3 linked regions of the Arabidopsis thaliana genome follow. The protein of the gene in region 1 interacts with the protein of each later gene in a pairwise test. Each region holds a gene or a part of one and is shown in the gene's direction. Other genes may lie near its edges. The genes, in order: SUC9, CHX4 and PDLP6.

Region 1 (5,776 bases):
TAATAAAAAGATAATAAATACAGAGAAGCAAATGAGAGTTCATCGTAAACACAGCAAACCAAATCAAGAAAACAAAGCAAATATGGTTATTCATTTCAAATGGTGGAATCAGAATATCAATAAGCAAAAACTGGTACATGGTTTGATTCACGTTTGAGTTATATGTTCCTCATTTTCCACTATTCCATCAAACCAAAACAAACAATAAAAACTCAAACAAAACTTTTGAAAAGCGGCGAAGTCAGAGATGTTAAATATGCCTCAAACAGTTTTAAGCTCATAATGAGGAAATTACCCCTCATTCGCACATCTAATTGGTTCATCATTCTCGCCGTTTCATTGCAAAACCAATAAAAACAATGTATCCTACCCGATTATATAGAACGAGATACTAAATGAACGAAATTAAAATCTGAAAATCCTCAAACGCAAAGATCTCTAGCAGATAAAAGAGATAAACACTTATATCTGAAGAGTCAGCGAGAGAGGACCTTAATTCCAGATCTAATGCCGATATAAAAAAACTCGACCTATAATAAATCAGGAAGGTAAAAACTGGGTTAGTTCTTAGGAGAACCCTAATCAAAAACCCTTAATAAATTTCGATTTAGCGCAGCAATGACTCGACACGCTTCCATTAAGCATTTGTGGAAGGCGATCTTAAGGGCTGCGCAACGATTTAAAAAAAAAACGATAAATACGAATAACACGATTTAGAACATAAGCCCTAATATCTAAGAATTGGGGGTTATAATCGAAGATGCATTGTATATATAGTGAAGACTTGTTTTACCCTAGTCGAAGAAGCTTATCCTCGTTTATTGACTATTGGGCTTTAAGCCCATGTTATTTTAAGCCTTATAGGCAAAACAAGACAGAAAACAAAAAGACCAGAATCGCCTTATTCATCAAGTTTTTTTCTTCTTACTTAAACCGAACCGAACCGAACCGAATTGGATTGAGCCATGCCGACACGGAGTTCTGCTCTATAACTTTAATTCGGCACGCAGTCTAAATACAGAGACACTATATGACAAACTCCTCCATCGCCGGTGGTCTGCACAGGGGAGGGGAAACAGCGATTCGAAAATGTCAGGTCGTGAAAGTTACCGTCTTCAGCACCGAGATCCATCTCAGACTTCATATTTTGATGTATTACCAACCTTGTTCATTAATCATAATTGGACATTGTTTCCTTCTATGATGTCGTTTTACATTTCACTCATTGTACTCTTTTCTTTGTATCTTGTTGCTAAAACAGACAACTTCTTAGCAAAATCTATCCTGAAAGAAGTTATTGTCCGTCAAGGTCTGATGTAACTCTCAAGCGATATGTACTGAATTCATGAAGTAATGGAATGTGGGAGTGTACTTTTCACTGAGGTACTCGAGAACTATCATAGATGGCTATACTTGCCATTAGAGTAGTGGCTTCTCAGCTTCTCTTGTTTTCATTCAGGTTTCTGACTCATATAAACCCGATTTCCCGCAACTTGATGCTCAGACAGAGCGTTAGTCTTTTGGAGAGCTTGCAATCATGCTGGAAAGAAGATGTTCTCGTTTTCTCTGCTGCTGGCAAATTTCTTCGCTTGACATTGCAGCTTCGTTCGAGGTTTGTGAAATTTGACTTTAATATTATCATCAATATTGATAGACATATATCTAGTGAAGATAACGTGAAAACTTGCTTGTTTTACCTTAATCGAAGAAGCTTTTTCACGTTTATGGACTTTAGGCCCATATCTTACGACATAATCACTTTGGAATTTTGGATACTTAACCATTTTATGTTAGGCTCGTAACTGACGACATAATCAATTTGGATACTTAACGTACCCAAATTGGGTTTTGAGATATCATTTGTTTCACCTTCTTTTTCTTGTGGAGGAAGTCAAAATAATATGTAACAGTAATGCGGTTTGATGCAAACAGAAATTTAAAAAAGGAAAACGAACAAAACAAATTTGACGAGAAATTGTAAACAAAAACATATTACAGAAACAAGAAATCTGTCACGATCTCAGAATATGTAAAGATAAGATAATAAACTGATTTCAGTTAGTCTTGTCATTATTACCAAATTCCTATAAGGATATTTGCGTTATATCCTTTAGTATAAATGATTTATTTTCTTAACTAATGAAACACAGAATCAAAACGTTTATAGAAACATAAATCTCATTCATCTTCCACACCTCGTCTTTAAGAGACGAGTCCGTTTCTTTTCATCTCCTCTATCACGATTCACCATCACCAAAACACAACCTCTTAAGATAACGTGAAGAAACTATGAGTGACATCCAAGCAAAAGAAGATGCGGCGCCTGTTGATAGACAGTCTTCTTCGTCGGTTGTGGTTCCTGATGAGCCGTCACCTCTAAGAAAGATGATATCAGTGGCTTCTATCGCAGCCGGTATACAGTTTGGTTGGGCTCTTCAGCTTTCTCTCCTAACCCCATACGTTCAGCTTCTCGGAGTCCCACACAAATGGTCATCTTTCATATGGCTATGTGGTCCTATCTCCGGTCTGCTCGTCCAGCCAACCGTCGGTTACTTCAGCGACCGATGCAAGTCAAGATTCGGTCGTCGTCGACCTTTCATCGCCACTGGTGCCTTGCTTGTTGCCCTTGCTGTTATACTAATTGGATTTGCGGCTGACTTCGGCCACACCATGGGAGATAAACTCGACGAAGCTGTCAAGATAAGAGCCGTTGGTTTCTTCGTTGTCGGTTTCTGGATCCTTGACGTGGCTAACAACACTCTTCAAGGACCTTGCCGTGCTTTTCTTGGTGATTTAGCAGCCGGAGATGCTAAGAAAACTCGAACTGCCAACGCGATTTTCTCTTTCTTCATGGCCGTTGGAAACGTTTTGGGATACGCTGCGGGATCGTACACTAACCTCCACAAGATTTTCCCTTTCACAGTGACTAAAGCATGCGACATCTATTGTGCAAATCTCAAGAGCTGTTTCATTATTTCCATCACTCTCCTCATAGTCCTCACAATCATAGCTCTTTGGTACGTGGAAGACAAGCAATGGTCGCCTAATGCAGATTCCGACAATGAGAAAACTCCCTTCTTTGGCGAGATCTTTGGAGCTTTCAAGGTGATGAAACGTCCAATGTGGATGCTTCTAGCCGTCACGGCCTTGAACTGGATCGCATGGTTTCCTTTTCTTTTATACGATACCGATTGGATGGGTCGTGAAGTGTATGGTGGAGACTCAGCAGGAGATGACAAAATGAAGAAACTATACAACCACGGAATCCAAGTTGGTTCGTTGGGGTTGATGCTTAACTCTATCGTTCTTGGAGTCATGTCCCTTGTTATTGGAGTGATTAGTAAGAAAATTGGAGCTAAAAGGCTTTGGGGAGCTGTGAACATAATCCTCGCGGTGTGTTTGGCAATGACAGTTTTGGTTACTAAAAAGGCTGAGGAGCACCGGAAGATCGCTGGTCGGATGGCCCTTCCTACCAATGCCATCAGAGATGGAGCATTGAGTCTCTTTGCTATTCTTGGAATTCCTCTTGCTGTAAGTCCACCATGTCTTTTACCAATTTTTGTTACTATTATCCATGAATTATTATTTTGTTTAACAATATTAATCCATTTTTTGCTATATTTTATAGATTACATTTAGTATTCCATTTGCATTAGCTTCCATTATTTCAAGCAGTTCCGGTGCCGGTCAAGGTATTTAATTTTAACCTCTCCTTTTGTTTCTAATTTGAACCTACATTCTCATAGTAATGCTAATTAAAATGTGTGAACACAAAAAACGGTAATGGAGAGATCAGTTTCCAATTATAAGAAAAACGATCGAGTATATATTTTCACATAGGGTGATGTATGTTATGTACTAATTTATTGGTTAATTGATATTTTTATACAATCTGTTTACATCTTCAATTATTAGTTGGTTTTCATTCACCATATAAAATTTGTCATAAATGTATCAATAAGATACATAATCGTTCTGTTTAAGATTATTATTAAAGCGTTTATCAGATTAATAAGGATAGTGATAACATTTTTTGTCATTTTTTCAGGACTCTCTCTAGGAGTTTTAAACATGGCAATAGTGATACCACAAATGATTGTATCGTTTGGAGTTGGTCCAATTGATGCGTTATTTGGAGGTGGAAACTTACCTGGATTTGTGGTTGGAGCTATAGCAGCTCTAATCAGCAGTGTTGTGGCACTTACCGTTTTACCTTAATTTTTTTTTTTTTTTTATTGTTATGTGCTTCTTTTTTATTGTTATGTATCCACATGTTTAATATTAATGTAGCATGTGGCATATTTATTTACATTATTTAATTAAAGTTTTAATTTTAAAAAGTTCTTCTTGTTTTTGTTTAACTTCTATATCTATGTCAACATCAATCTGCGTAAATTAAAGTATTTTAAACTTCTAGGTAAATAACAAAAAAAAAAATTAATATTATGCATAGGAATTGTAAATCTAACATTTTTACCTTTATATGACAATTCATTCATGATACATTTTATTTTGTAGAAACAATGAAATATTCAAAAAAACATAATACACTTTAAAAAAGTATAAAATAAAATAAAATGAAATCAAAGACCAAAAAAATAAATTTAGTCTAAACAAAGACGACGGGGCAGGTGGGAAGACTCGAGTAGACACATGGATGAGTGTGGTAGCAAAAAGCTTACCGGCCGCGGTTTAGCGAAGAAAGAAATGAAGGCCTACACTAACTTTAGAAGGAGAGGGGGATGAGTGTGTGTTCAATTTTAAGAATTTAATTTTTGTATTTTAGATTCTATTAATTCTAGTATTATTTAAATTCTTGATTAACAAATTTTATTAAATGCTAGTGTTATTCAATATTAGGATTAATAAAGAAAAAATCCCACTCAAGATTGTGAATAAAAAATTCCAGGAATTCATGCAAAGATTTGGTTAGAATTAATTCAATTCCTTAAAATCTACTTTTGATCCTCTTAATTCTTTAAAATTTCTTAACTGAATACTACAATTACAATTGAGAAGTCGTAAGTTTCAATTGGTACGAAATGTACTCAAAACTTATCAATTCGAAATGAACATCATCATGTAGCAAAATTGAAGCAATATATATGTGGATCTACTGATACTAAGCAAAAAATCAAGTATTCTCTTTCTCGATGAACTAATTTATCAGTCGTAGCCTAGCGAAGAAAGATTTCACTAACATTTTGAAAAAATAAAATTGAGAGAGAATTGCAACAGAAAATTATGGTTAATGACTGAAAATATAAAGAACTTATATTCCAGTAGCTCTAGAATTTGACAAAATTGCAACGGAAAATACTCAAACTTTTAATAGCCAAAAAAAATGAAATAGAGTTAGAAAATCAACAAACCAATAACACAAATTTTTGAAAGAATTACAAAATTATCAACACAAATAATACAATAATTTAATTTAGTAAAAATATAGAAATCCACAAGAGTTAGAATCTTAAATTTTAAAACTCTTTAGAAATCAACTTGCTAATAATCGTAAAAAAATTAGAACGCTTGAAATAGCTGAAGAAGGTTTAATTCGTTCCGATTCCCGGTTCAAATTGATTTTCGATTTATTCTGATTTCAACTTCGGTTTGGTCTAGCTGGTCAGTCGTCATCACTCTCGTCAGGAATCCCTCTCGTCACTGAACTTTCTTTTCCTTTCAAGTTTCACCTCTAATGCGACGAACACAGCCACGGGAACTGGCCGTCACTGGTTTATCGGAGAATCTCCAAGGATGTGTTTTCCGCACGGTGAAA
Region 2 (6,903 bases), on another chromosome or scaffold:
GACGGCATGGTAAGAGTCAGCCTGAATGGTTCGGCTCCACCCCGTCTAACCAACCTCTCCCTTCCACTGTCTTAACCAAGCGTCAGGTGAGCCATCAATCATGCATCCTAACATCATTTGATTGATCTCTATATATATACAAACACATGTCTGAAAACGTGACAAATTTGAACAAACAGATGCTAGATAGATTTGATCAGCATACACAAGTATGCTCTTCCTGCAAAGGAGCTTACAACAGTTTCCAAATCCTCAAGAAGTTTCTCGTTGGCGCGACGGTTTTCTGGGCCGCCACGGCTGGTGTTCCTTCTGATGTTCAGATTCGACTGGTTCTTGCTGGTTTATCACTGATATCAGCTGCTTCTGCATATGCTTTACATGAACAAGAGAAGAACTTTGTGTTTAGAGATTATGTACATTCTGAAATCGAGTAGATTTGTTGTGTATATGTATAATCATCATACAAAGTACAAACATTGTAAATCAAAATCCAGAGGAACTTTTAGCACTATAAAACCGATTTAACCGTTAAATTTTGGGTACTCAATTGAACTTTATAAAACTTTTAAGTAAGAAAACAGAAAAGTAGAATAATTACGGGGTCAAATTCGAAACATAAGAAAAACATTCGTCACTTCACTTGAGCAAGCACACGAAAAGCCGATAAGAAGATAACAATTACTACAACTGTGCGCTCTTGTTATCTCTGCTTTGAAGTGAAATCAGCTTTGGCTATGGCTTCTTCGACAGCTTTGTCTCTCTCATGGAGCTCCTCTCCTTGTTGGTCACACAGCTTCAATGGCGGTGCAAATGAAACCCTAAAAGTATCTGAGCGAAGGTTCAATTTTGAAGTTGTTTCCCAGAAGAAAGCTAAGAAACTTCGCAAGGTAAAAGTCATTACCTTTCATGGGTTTCCTTCAAAAATTTGATTTGGCTTTTAGTTAGTTTTTGATTTGAGCTTGTGTTTCTGAAGAATTTTGGTGGAGATGAAAGTAAAAGACTTGAAGATGCTTAATTTATGGGTTTAGTGTAAAAACATCGTCTTTGTTCTTGTATCAGCGTAGTTAGGAAGAAAGATGAATCAACATTAGAAAAGTAGACGCCTTTATATTACCAGTTTAGTTTCAAGTAGTGAAGATAAATTGGTTTGAAGCTTTGTTTCTGTGTAGAGAAATGGAGTAAGTGAAACACTAATGGTAAATCTTGTTTTGTGTCTTTAAGGTAATTTTGAAAGAGGATGTGACGGATTTGGGTAAGCAAGGGCAATTACTTGATGTGAAAGCTGGATTTTTCAGAAACTTCCTCTTGCCTACTGGAAAGGCTCAGCTTATGACTCCACTTCTGCTCAAGTAATTCACCTCAACTTCGAAATTTCCGTTCGCTTTTGTATGCTCTTACTATTCGGTTCTAAGGCCTTTGTATTTCGAGGGACTTTGCTACAATGTTGTAAGATCAACAAGAAAAACATCATTTTCTTTCTTTTTGTGTGTGTGTTTTTCCCCCAGGGAATTGAAGATGGAAGACGAACGGATTGAGGCAGAGAAGCAAAGGGTAATCTGATATGAATACATTGATTGTTTTTATTTGATCATCATGTAAAGTTTTGGTGTTTGAGTGATCACCAAAAAACTCTTTGGTTATTGATTTTCATCTGTTTGTTGGTTTTTTCTTTGCGTGGAACCTTTTTTGCAGGTGAAAGAAGAGGCACAACAACTGGCGATGGTATTCCAAACCGTTGGTGCTTTCAAGGTTAAACGCAAAGGCGGTAAAGGCAAACTGATATTTGGATCGTAAGTCCTACTTAAGCAAATCTAGATTTTAACAGTCTTGAGAATAGTGTTTAGCCTGTACTTAACTTTATATTTTCCTGCAGTGTCACAGCTCAAGACCTCGTCGACATCATCAAATCACAGCTCCAAAAGTAACAACATAGAAAATTTTACATTTCCACATAAAAAGCTACAAGCTTTCTCATGTGGGCGGTTTAGTTGGATCAGTCTACATTTGGTTTTTAGTGTTGTTCGAAGAACCTAATATGGTTTTATCTGCTTCTCTGTGGCTGTGTTTTGCAGGGACATCGACAAACGCCTTGTCTCTCTCCCAGAAATCCGTGAAACCGGAGAATACATAGCCGAACTCAAGCTTCACCCCGATGTCACTGCTCGAGTTAAGATCAATGTTTTCGCTAACTAAACCTTCAACGATTCAAGACTCCTACTGCATCCCAAGGTATTTCTTGATTTTCCATGATCATGTGGCTTTTAACCATAAATGAAACTAAGTATTAGTTTTGTCTTAGTTCGTGTCTTAATTGGCATGAAATAAGTAGTTAAACCGATGTTCTGAACTCTGAACATCGGCATATAAACATTGGTCGGGAATATTGGCTGTTGAACGGAGTTTTGCGTTTTAAGGTCTAGCCGCAAACGCAGATGCTAATTGTCCATCGCACTGTGTTTGGTGTTTTGAACTTGCAGGAACGTATAGAGAGGGAAAAGAGAGTAGCCTCTTGTGGTGAGGATTGAAGGTTGTGAAGTTTTTCCTTTAGATTGTTTGATGCATTTGTATTTTTGCTATTTTTGGAATCTGGAAACGCTAAAAGTATAATATTCTCTTGCAAGTTATGATATTTACTTGAAGTTATATTGTATTCATTTGTCTGTTGAAGTGATGAGAATGCTTAAATTAACACTAACAAGCTGTTTAAAAAACTAACAAATAACCAGAAATCTGAAAAACTATGTCGCCGTCTCTTGTTCCCACAAGATTGACTATTTTTAGAGAGTTGTTGTTTAATGACAAAACCCAGATGTTTTTTTGTTTCACTGCTTCTCTTCAATTCTGTTACCAAAACCTTTTTTGTTTAAGACAGTTATAGCTCTTGATTCGGTTTTTATAATCATATGATTCTCTTGTTTCTATCATCTTTGTTCTTGTTAACAAGTTTTGTCCAATGGAGTTTAATGGTGATAGGATCCCTTACCTGAGAGATACATGGAGAGATGCAAACATGATCTGCGGTATCTTGCCTATTAACCCGAGCTCGAGCGGGCTATGGCCCTCCCCGAAGCTCCCAGATCCTCAAGCAAACATTGAGTTCTGGAATTACATGTTTCCACATGTTCAGATCATTTTCCTTATCGTCACTATTCTCTGGCAATTCTTCCATTTCTTCCTCAGACGTCTCGGCATGATTCGTTTCACCTCCCATATGCTTGTAAGAACTTTACTCAATTCTTGAATCTTCAAATCTCTCTTCCTCTTTGTTTGCATTGCTTATGTTTGATATTCTGTGTGGTTTTGCCAGACTGGGATTCTCTTGAGCAAGTCGTTTCTTAAGGAGAATACACCGGCTAGGAAATTCCTCTCGACGGAAGACTATAAAGAGACTCTGTTTGGTTTAGTGGGTGCATGTTCCTACATGATGTTTTGGTTCTTGATGGGAGTTAAAATGGACTTGAGTTTGATCCGCAGCACCGGGAGAAAAGCTGTAGCTATCGGTCTTTCCTCAGTGTTACTCTCTATAACGGTTTGCGCCTTGATCTTCTTCTTGATCCTAAGAGATGTAGGGACGAAAAAGGGAGAACCGGTTATGAGTTTCTTTGAAATCATTTTCATCTATTTGATCCAATGCCTTTCGTCGTTTCCTGTAATTGGAAACCTTCTTTTTGAGCTTAGGCTCCAGAATTCAGAGCTTGGCCGTCTCGCTATGTCTTCTGCAGTGATCAGTGACTTCAGCACCTCGATCCTCTCTGCGGTTCTAGTCTTTCTAAAGGAACTCAAGGACGATAAATCTCGGCTTGGATCAGTTTTTATCGGAGATGTTATTGTTGGAAACCGTCCTATGAAGCGTGCGGGCACAGTGGTCTTGTTTGTTTGTTTTGCCATATACATATTCAGACCATTAATGTTCTTCATTATCAAGAGAACACCTTCTGGTCGTCCCGTAAAGAAATTCTATATATATGCAATCATCATTCTTGTCTTTGGATCAGCCATTCTTGCCGATTGGTGCAAGCAATCTATTTTCATAGGACCTTTTATCTTAGGCTTAGCTGTTCCACACGGTCCACCTCTAGGCTCTGCAATACTTCAGAAGTTTGAGTCTGTGGTTTTCGGCACATTCCTTCCTTTCTTTGTGGCTACCTCCGCGGAAGAGATCGATACTTCGATTTTACAGTCTTGGATAGATCTCAAGAGTATTGTCATCCTAGTGTCTGTATCGTTTATTGTCAAATTCGCTCTCACGACTCTCCCTGCCTTCTTATACGGTATGCCAGCAAAGGATTGCATTGCTCTGTCTCTAATTATGTCATTCAAAGGCATTTTCGAGTTCGGTGCTTACGGTTATGCGTATCAAAGAGGGGTAAGTAAATGTATTTGACATATTTCCTTCAAAATGTATCTAACACATTTTGATACACTCAGAAACTGAGCTTAGTATTCATTTTGATTGCAGACTATTCGGCCGGTGACCTTTACGGTTTTATCTTTGTACATCTTGTTGAACTCTGCAGTCATACCTCCGCTCTTAAAACGCATTTATGATCCTTCGAGGATGTACGCAGGATACGAGAAGCGGAACATGCTTCACATGAAACCAAACTCCGAGCTCAGGATTCTATCGTGTATCTACAAAACAGACGATATCCGTCCGATGATCAATCTCCTTGAAGCTACTTGTCCCTCAAGAGAAAACCCTGTAGCTACTTACGTCCTTCACTTGATGGAGCTAGTAGGACAAGCCAATCCAGTCCTCATCTCTCACCGATTACAAACCCGTAAAAGTGAGAACATGTCTTATAATTCTGAAAACGTCGTTGTCTCATTCGAACAGTTCCACAACGATTTTTTCGGCTCTGTTTTCGTTAGCACTTACACGGCTTTATCCGTGCCGAAGATGATGCACGGAGACATCTGTATGCTGGCTTTAAACAACACAACGTCTCTCATCATCCTTCCTTTTCACCAGACTTGGTCTGCTGATGGATCAGCCATTGTTTCAGACAGCCTAATGATCCGGCAACTGAACAAGAGTGTCCTCGACCTCTCTCCTTGCTCTGTCGGAATCTTCGTCTATCGAAGCAGTAATGGACGGAGAACAATCAAAGAGACAGCTGCAAACTTCTCATCTTACCAAGTTTGTATGCTCTTTCTTGGAGGTAAAGACGATAGAGAAGCTTTATCACTCGCCAAGAGAATGGCTCGTGATTCAAGAATAACCATCACAGTGGTTTCACTCATCTCTTCCGAACAGAGAGCGAACCAAGCAACCGACTGGGATCGCATGCTCGACTTAGAACTACTCAGAGACGTGAAAAGCAACGTTCTAGCCGGTGCTGACATTGTCTTCTCCGAGGAAGTAGTGAATGACGCAAATCAAACATCACAATTGTTGAAATCTATTGCGAATGAGTATGATCTGTTCATCGTCGGAAGAGAAAAAGGAAGGAAGAGTGTTTTCACCGAGGGGCTTGAAGAATGGAGTGAGTTTGAAGAACTTGGTATCATTGGAGATCTCTTGACTTCACAGGATCTAAATTGTCAAGCTTCTGTGTTGGTGATACAACAGCAACAACAGATGATCTAGGATTTTTAAGAAATCAGGAGATGACTAATAGAACGAGTGTTTCTTGGGGATAGAAACATCGATCGATCAGCTGGAAATGGCAACGAGAGAGTCTTGGGGCTTCTGGAAGTTGCCTCGGCACATATACAGAGATGTGAAGCCCTAGTTGTTACCATTTCATGTTAGAAATTGATTAGAAACAAAGACTTTCTTGAGTTCCAAGTAATGATTACAATGTTTTTGAATGTTGTATATATTTCAACCTATTTCAATCTGTGAATAGTTAGAGATGTTTTTTTCCGAGTTTTGGCTTAAAAATTGGTTACATATAAAATTAGTTTTTTTTTTCTTTTCTCAAATCTCAATTACGGATTTTAAATATAAAAACAGAATCTAATTTTTTTTTTTTTTTTTTTGCATACGTTAGTTATGTTCTTTTTTTTCTTTTTTAATAGATTTTCGGCCCAAACCTGTAATTATTGCAATCTCAGGCCCGAAACAATAGCATTTAATATGTTAGTTATGTTATGTGTACTTTAGCCATGTTCTGAACTCTTTTATTCTCTCGGTTCCGTCTCATCGGTCTTGTTGTGAAGTTTTAATGGAACATCTTCTTTTTTTTCTAATTTTAGTCCTGCAATAGTGAAAACCTCTTAAAAGAATGAGAAATGTATATATGAACACCTTCTAATAAATATGTTATACACAAACAAACAGAACATTTTCACGTTTGTTGTTGTTGTTGGACTACCAAAACAGAAACCCTAGAGTCGAGTTCTCTAGACGCTAGCAAATCTCCAATGACACCTAACTCGGGTAGTTCGACCCACTCCATGAGTCCATCGAAGTCCGGTGATGCCATGCCATGATCTCTCCCAACTACCATAAGATCATAATCCTCAGAGAGTGATCGGACGGTAGTGGCCACTTCTGGACCTCCAGTCACAATCCTCTCTGTATATGCAATAGAGTTTGTGGCCTCTGTATCTTTAAGATCCTCTAAAACCTCGTGATCAAGAATGTAATCCCAATTAGTCGACTCTGTTTCTCGGTCAGAGATGAGTCGGATCACAGTGATTTTGACTCTAGGGTTTTGCTTCATCTTTTTCACCAACGAGAGTGCCTCCCGATCGTCTTTGCCTCCAATGAAGATCACACCAACGTCGATATTAAATTTTCTTGTTCCTTTCAGCGACAACTGTCCACGGTCCACAAGAATCCCAATAGAACAAGATGCACTCTTGAGGAGTGACTCATTGAGACGTCTTATAGCTTCGTCCTCTGACTCAAACGCCCCATCTACGGTCCATTTCCTCCCCGAGGGGACGATAATA
Region 3 (5,972 bases), on another chromosome or scaffold:
TTAAAATTGTTGAGTTGTATTGATGAAAAAATTAGTATAGATCAAATTGGGTTACTACTATGTTATATAATGGATTAAAAATACTTTCTTCTAATTGGAGTTAAATTTTGATTTATCTATTTTTGGACAATAATTTTAGGTATTAAATTTTTTATTTTATTTTATTTATTTGCCAAAGATTGCAAGTAGTAGAATTAATTGATTTGATTAAGTAAATATGACAGCTAGATACACTCTTTGCATGTAATTAAAAATTAAAAAATTGAAATTTTAATTTATTACAAGATTTTGATATCAACCACTTTTAGAGAAAGAGAGTAACCAGGCAATATTAGGAAAATATAAAATTAATCAAGAAAAATAGACATGAAAAACAAACTACTCCAATCTTTTTGTTTAGCCAATAAAGAGATTAATTAAGCTAATATCTTACTAAAAAAGAGTTTATATATTATTAATTTTATAACTTAGAAAATTTCTAATCTATTATGCAAAAAGTTATTTCTAATTAATAAGATTGATTCTACTAATTTTGATAATAGATATTTGATTCAAATATAATGAAAAATAAAAATGACCTCTAGCAATTTTTAAATTTTTGGTAACAAAATACTAACAATTTTCTTTTCTGGCATAGTTTAAATTAACTTTAGATAGTTTGAAATAATCTTAAGGATCAAAAGATAATAGTTACAATCTATGAAAAAATTGTTCTTGCAATGTAACAAAGATCACCTAAATCAAAAATGCCCTCGAGTTGTCCATAGATGTGTGTAAAATTAACTTAACAAAACTAATCAGTGCATGATTATATTTTTTTTAGTCGGCCAATTTATCCATTAGATAATGAAAGTGTGTACAGAAATACATTTAACAGACCCAAGAGACTATAACTCCAATTGGTAACATTACATAATAGCATAATAATATAAATTGCCAAATAAAAATTTGTAAAATGAAAAATTGTAGAATAAAATTATTTTTAAAATATGTTGATTGCATAAATTTTGTAGAATAATACTGCTTTTGTTGAGCCTCTCTTGCTAATGTATTTGCCATTACATTTGGTTCTCTACGACTATATATATTATAGTAACGGTTCTTGGCCAAAGCTAAGATATTATTTAGGCAGTCCTGAATTTCCCAATTTCCCGGTGTAGGATGATGACATGATGTGCGCATATACCAACTACTTTTAACAAAAATAAAATTACACTAGGTGAATACTCACACTACGTATAGGTTGTTATTTTAAAAATTATTTAAAAATAATTATGTTTAACTATTTTGATTGCTAATTTATGTTTTTTCCGTATATGTTATTATGTAGTTAATAAAGTTATATTTATTTTATGTAATTATATTTGTAGAGTTAGATTCACTTTTGATTCACATATCAATTATATTTTTTATGTATAAATCTTTTTATCTCTATACCCAAAATTCTAATCTTTTTTTAACTATCATGAATTACTTACATCAACAATATATGATACAATGGTATGCAATTATGTTACTTATTTAGTTTGAAAGTTGTCTAATTTGATTCTAAGCAAACAATTTATTGTTTCATGTATTCTCTCTTAATCTAATATCCCAATCACATCATGATAAACTCATGGCTAAGTATTAGATTGACATAAAATAAATAACATATGTATAACTAACTACTCATTTGCATTAAAAGTTTTCACGTGAAAGAAAAAAAAGAAAGCAAAAATTAAACAGTCTTTTAAGTTAATACTTTTAGGTTTCTCTCTTTACATTTGCATTTAGCTATATTGGAGAGAATGTCGTATATTAAATTTTTTGGTATATCTAACGTCTCAAAAGACCATTACTTTAAAAAACATGCATGTTATTATTAATGTTACTAATTTATCATAAAGTACAAAAAGACCATGATAATATCATGTAGACCAAAAAATGTAATAATAAGAAAAATTAAGTTAAAATTACTAAATTAAAAAAGGTTAAGTACCAGGTAAGTTGCAATACCCAAAAGTTTCTAACCATTATCAAATACTGACTATTAAAAAAAATAGCAAAATAAGAAAAGTAAAATGAAAATAGTATTTGATATATTAACATAATTTTTTATATTTTTTTCTTTTAAGTGAAGATATTTTGTTAAAAATAAGATTAATGAATGATTCAATGCAATGTTAAACTTTTAAATTTTATCACCAAGTTTTATTATTTTTCTAATAATATTAATTTAGGATAACATGTGACACTCATTAGTGTGATGATGTGTCACTCATATGAAGAAAGTTAGCCAACTTTCATATATATGATTACCAAATAAATAATTTTGACATATAGTATATCGATTACCAAACCATATAACTGATAAACAGATGATAAAAATACAATATAATCAAAGTGTTTCATAATCATATAGTAACGCACCAATCATTAAAAAAAAAAAAAAGTTAAACACCAAGCATAAAAAAAAGTCGCGACGTTCTCATTCTTTCTCGAATCATACCACAGAGAGAGAGAGAACAAAAAGAAGCAATCGTCGAAAGTCATGTTCGCTACAAAAACAGTTCTCTTTATCGCCGTCGTGTCACTTCTCGGAACGTTTTCATCCGCCGCTGTCGATACTTTTATCTACGGTGGTTGCTCACAAGAAAAGTACTTTCCGGGATCGCCTTACGAGTCAAACGTTAACTCTCTACTCACCTCGTTCGTTAGCTCAGCTTCTCTCTACACATACAACAACTTCACCACCAACGGAATCTCCGGCGACAGTTCCTCCGTCTACGGTTTGTACCAGTGTCGCGGTGATCTCTCCTCCGGCTCGGGAGATTGTGCAAGATGCGTCGCGCGAGCAGTAAGCCGTCTAGGGAGTCTCTGCGCCATGGCAAGCGGTGGCGCGTTGCAGCTCGAAGGCTGTTTCGTTAAATACGACAACACGACGTTCCTCGGTGTTGAGGATAAGACGGTGGTGGTTCGACGTTGTGGACCACCGGTTGGTTATAACTCGGACGAGATGACTCGTAGAGACTCGGTGGTGGGTTCTTTAGCGGCGAGTAGCGGTGGTTCATACAGAGTAGGAGTGTCGGGGGAACTGCAAGGTGTGGCGCAGTGCACCGGAGATCTTAGTGCGACTGAGTGTCAAGACTGTTTGATGGAAGCGATCGGACGGCTGAGAACGGATTGCGGAGGAGCTGCTTGGGGTGACGTGTACTTAGCAAAGTGCTACGCGCGTTACTCTGCGCGTGGAGGTCACTCTAGAGCCAACGGCTATGGTAATGTCTTCTTTGCTCCGTTGCTTTTTATTTCTTTTATAAAGATTTTTATTTGATTTTAAAGTTTTTAATTAAGGGAAAAACCCGAAAAAATCTCCGGCTAATTTTAGTTTGTCTGTTTAATACCTCTATTATTTAATTTTCTCAAAAAATATCTAAATTAATTTTTATATCTTTTTAAAACTTTCGTTTTATTAAATTTTGTTAAAATTAGATATTCAAATTAACAGCCGTTAACAGTGGTAACTGAATCAATAACTGCAGTAAAAACTTAACTGTACAGTATTTACTATTTATATATATTTTATTATCGAATAGTTACGAACGTATTGTCTTAGTCATGTGGTTATGTGAGATTTTTATTTTCAAGATTTATTTTTTTCGTTTATTTTCTCCATCTTCTTTGCATAGAATTTACAATTTATGCATATAATATTTTTGATAATTGTATTGTTAAAAATGTGTTATTTTTGGGATGTAATTAGGTGGGAATCGTAATAACAATGATGACGATGAGATAGAGAAAACACTTGCAATCATAGTTGGCTTAATTGCTGGAGTTACGTTACTCGTCGTATTTCTCTCTTTTATGGCAAAATCGTGCGAGAGAGGTAAAGGTAAATGAAATGACCCATCCCTAATTAATCGAACATTATCATCAAATATTGTTATGATTAACGGATCAATATGTAATTAATGGAGCCCAAAGATAAGGCACTATGATCCGACTTTTTTTGTTGTTGTTGTTGTTTATATCATCTATTAATGTTTTTGTTTTTAATATATCAGGTGGGAAGTAAATAACGTTATGGGACTTTTGACTTGTATCATCAATTTATGGTTTTAAAAAAGAATCAAATGCGTAAAGGAGAAAGAAAAGCGAAGAGATTCTTCATATTCTCCACTAAAATCCTAAAGGATGTTTCTTTTTTGACCCACTTTAATTGAAGTTTTACTATTTTTCAAATGTATAGAAAACTCACGCCGTTTAGATTTGTGATCGTATCTTTACGTAAGAACATTTAAAAGTGGCGCATATGCAATTTATCTTTGATATGTATTTCTAATTATCATAATCACTTAACGTTGTAGTTTAAAGGAATTATTGTTGATTTTGTGTTACTGTTTGTGACAAAACAATGTATATATATGTTCTATGAATTTAAAGCCAAAGTTAGCTATACATTTTCTTATTTCCAGTATATAAATAGAATTTTGTTCTTTCTAAACTATTACTACCTTCAATTTCTCTCTTAGATTTTTCATTTGCAAAACGCATCGGTGTATCATTTCTACTATATATCAATCAAAGAAGTCTATTCATGTTGTATAACTAAGTTTTGAAATCCCTTTTCTAAATTCATATAATCTTAACTCGTTACAACGAATTCTCGCATCCACGATGATTTAAAGTAAAATAATGTCAAATGGTAGGTATATATTTGATTGAATTAGATACTAATATATCATACTAAAGATATGAATACGTCTTTAGTAAGTAGAACTTTATAAAGTGTTCAAATTTATATCATTATGTTTCATACAAAAGTAAGGGGGGATACAAGCATAATTGCCTAATTGGTGGAACAATCGGCTTACGTGACACAATTCTCTATCATCAATTATTCGCCTTATGTTCTATATTAGATTTGCCCAAAAAAATAAAACTTGTTCTCAAGTAGATTAAAATTTGTTTGAAATGTTTTAATTATTTTGTATTTCTTATCATTTTATGCAATCGATATTATCCTAGGCCAAATAGATGCAGCTACACTAATAAAACAATTTGTGTGTGGATCATTTGATTTTAAGTTTCCTTTATAGTTTACGTTTAAAAAAAAAAAAAAAAGTTGCTAAAATTATGTGTTAGCGGCAATGTGGCACTGCGTTTTCGATCCAATGTTAAAGTAGCCATACTGGCTAATTTAACTACATTGTAAAAATGAAATAAAATTCGATTTTAAACATCGAGTAAAAAAATTACCAAGAAATGAAAGAATATAGTTAGACTCAACATCGACACCAACAAAACATGTTAAAGGAGAAAAAAAGTATTGTCTACTATAGAGATTACACATGCGATTGTAGACGCTATCGTACATAATATATTAAAGAACTTCTTAAGACAATGACGATGATGATTCAGAACGCTGATACCAAGGGAAAGTTGTTATAGTGCTATCGCGGGTGGAAATCACAGCTTCTCATCCGGGAATGGCACCGGTCCCAGTGTCAATATCATGGATTCTGCTAAATAGGCAACTGACAACCAGTCGTATGCCTATTTCATTGAGGCTTCTTCTTTTCGACTGGAGCGTCGATTGAAAAATTGGGATTGTTCCTCGCACAAGGTGGAGAAACTAATAAATTTGGTGACTGCAACGAAGAGGTGTGAGTGTTGTGTGATGCGCGGGGCCATGAGGGAGGAAGCAATATTTTCATCAGCCCGAGAATATGATCACCACACAGCTTCTAGGGCTTTTTCAAGAACCGTCGGTACCATTGTCATCTTTGTTGGTGTCTTTGGATTCAAGACTTCTATGTCTTACATGTGAAACTTGTACAAAGAGGGTGTCACAGCCTCCCATTGAATAACAAGTTGCGGCTCAAACGCAAGCCAAAGAGACGACATATGCAATTAAGACCCAGCTGAGTAACGTCAAGAAAAACTTTCTAAAGACTAGTTCATGATCCTAATATAAAATATTACTTCTT

Evidence for each region.
Region 2: the proteins of SUC9 (region 1) and CHX4 interact in a protein complementation assay, tested with the Arabidopsis thaliana proteins (one large-scale study listed by BioGRID).
Region 3: the proteins of SUC9 (region 1) and PDLP6 interact in a protein complementation assay, tested with the Arabidopsis thaliana proteins (one large-scale study listed by BioGRID).

Annotation. Positions count from the first base shown.
Region 1 is NC_003076.8:1,867,502-1,873,277, forward strand, and holds SUC9 (sucrose-proton symporter 9), read left to right. Parts: upstream 1-2,289; coding exon 2,290-3,531; intron 3,532-3,628; coding exon 3,629-3,692; intron 3,693-4,048; coding exon 4,049-4,218; downstream 4,219-5,776. Other genes in the region: AT5G06180 (fission ELM1-like protein (DUF1022)), read left to right, coding at 5,696-5,776. UniProt on the Arabidopsis thaliana protein: High-affinity sucrose transporter. Responsible for the transport of sucrose into the cell, with the concomitant uptake of protons (symport system).
Region 2 is NC_003074.8:16,385,771-16,392,673, forward strand, and holds CHX4 (cation/H+ exchanger 4), read left to right. Parts: upstream 1-2,953; coding exon 2,954-3,217; intron 3,218-3,307; coding exon 3,308-4,366; intron 4,367-4,459; coding exon 4,460-5,590; 3' UTR 5,591-5,812; downstream 5,813-6,903. Other genes in the region: ACD1 (Pheophorbide a oxygenase family protein with Rieske 2Fe-2S domain-containing protein), read left to right, coding at 1-86, 180-434; RPL9 (ribosomal protein L9), read left to right, coding at 735-887, 1,222-1,349, 1,506-1,551, 1,693-1,790, 1,874-1,921, 2,073-2,193; CHX12 (cation/H+ exchanger 12), read right to left, coding at 6,294-6,903.
Region 3 is NC_003071.7:289,058-295,029, reverse strand, and holds PDLP6 (plasmodesmata-located protein 6), read left to right. Parts: upstream 1-2,341; 5' UTR 2,342-2,533; coding exon 2,534-3,257; coding exon of another isoform or gene 3,258-3,313; exon of another isoform or gene 3,314-3,742; coding exon 3,743-3,874; coding exon of another isoform or gene 3,875-3,882; exon of another isoform or gene 3,883-4,046; coding exon 4,047-4,057; 3' UTR 4,058-4,457; downstream 4,458-5,972. UniProt on the Arabidopsis thaliana protein: Modulates cell-to-cell trafficking.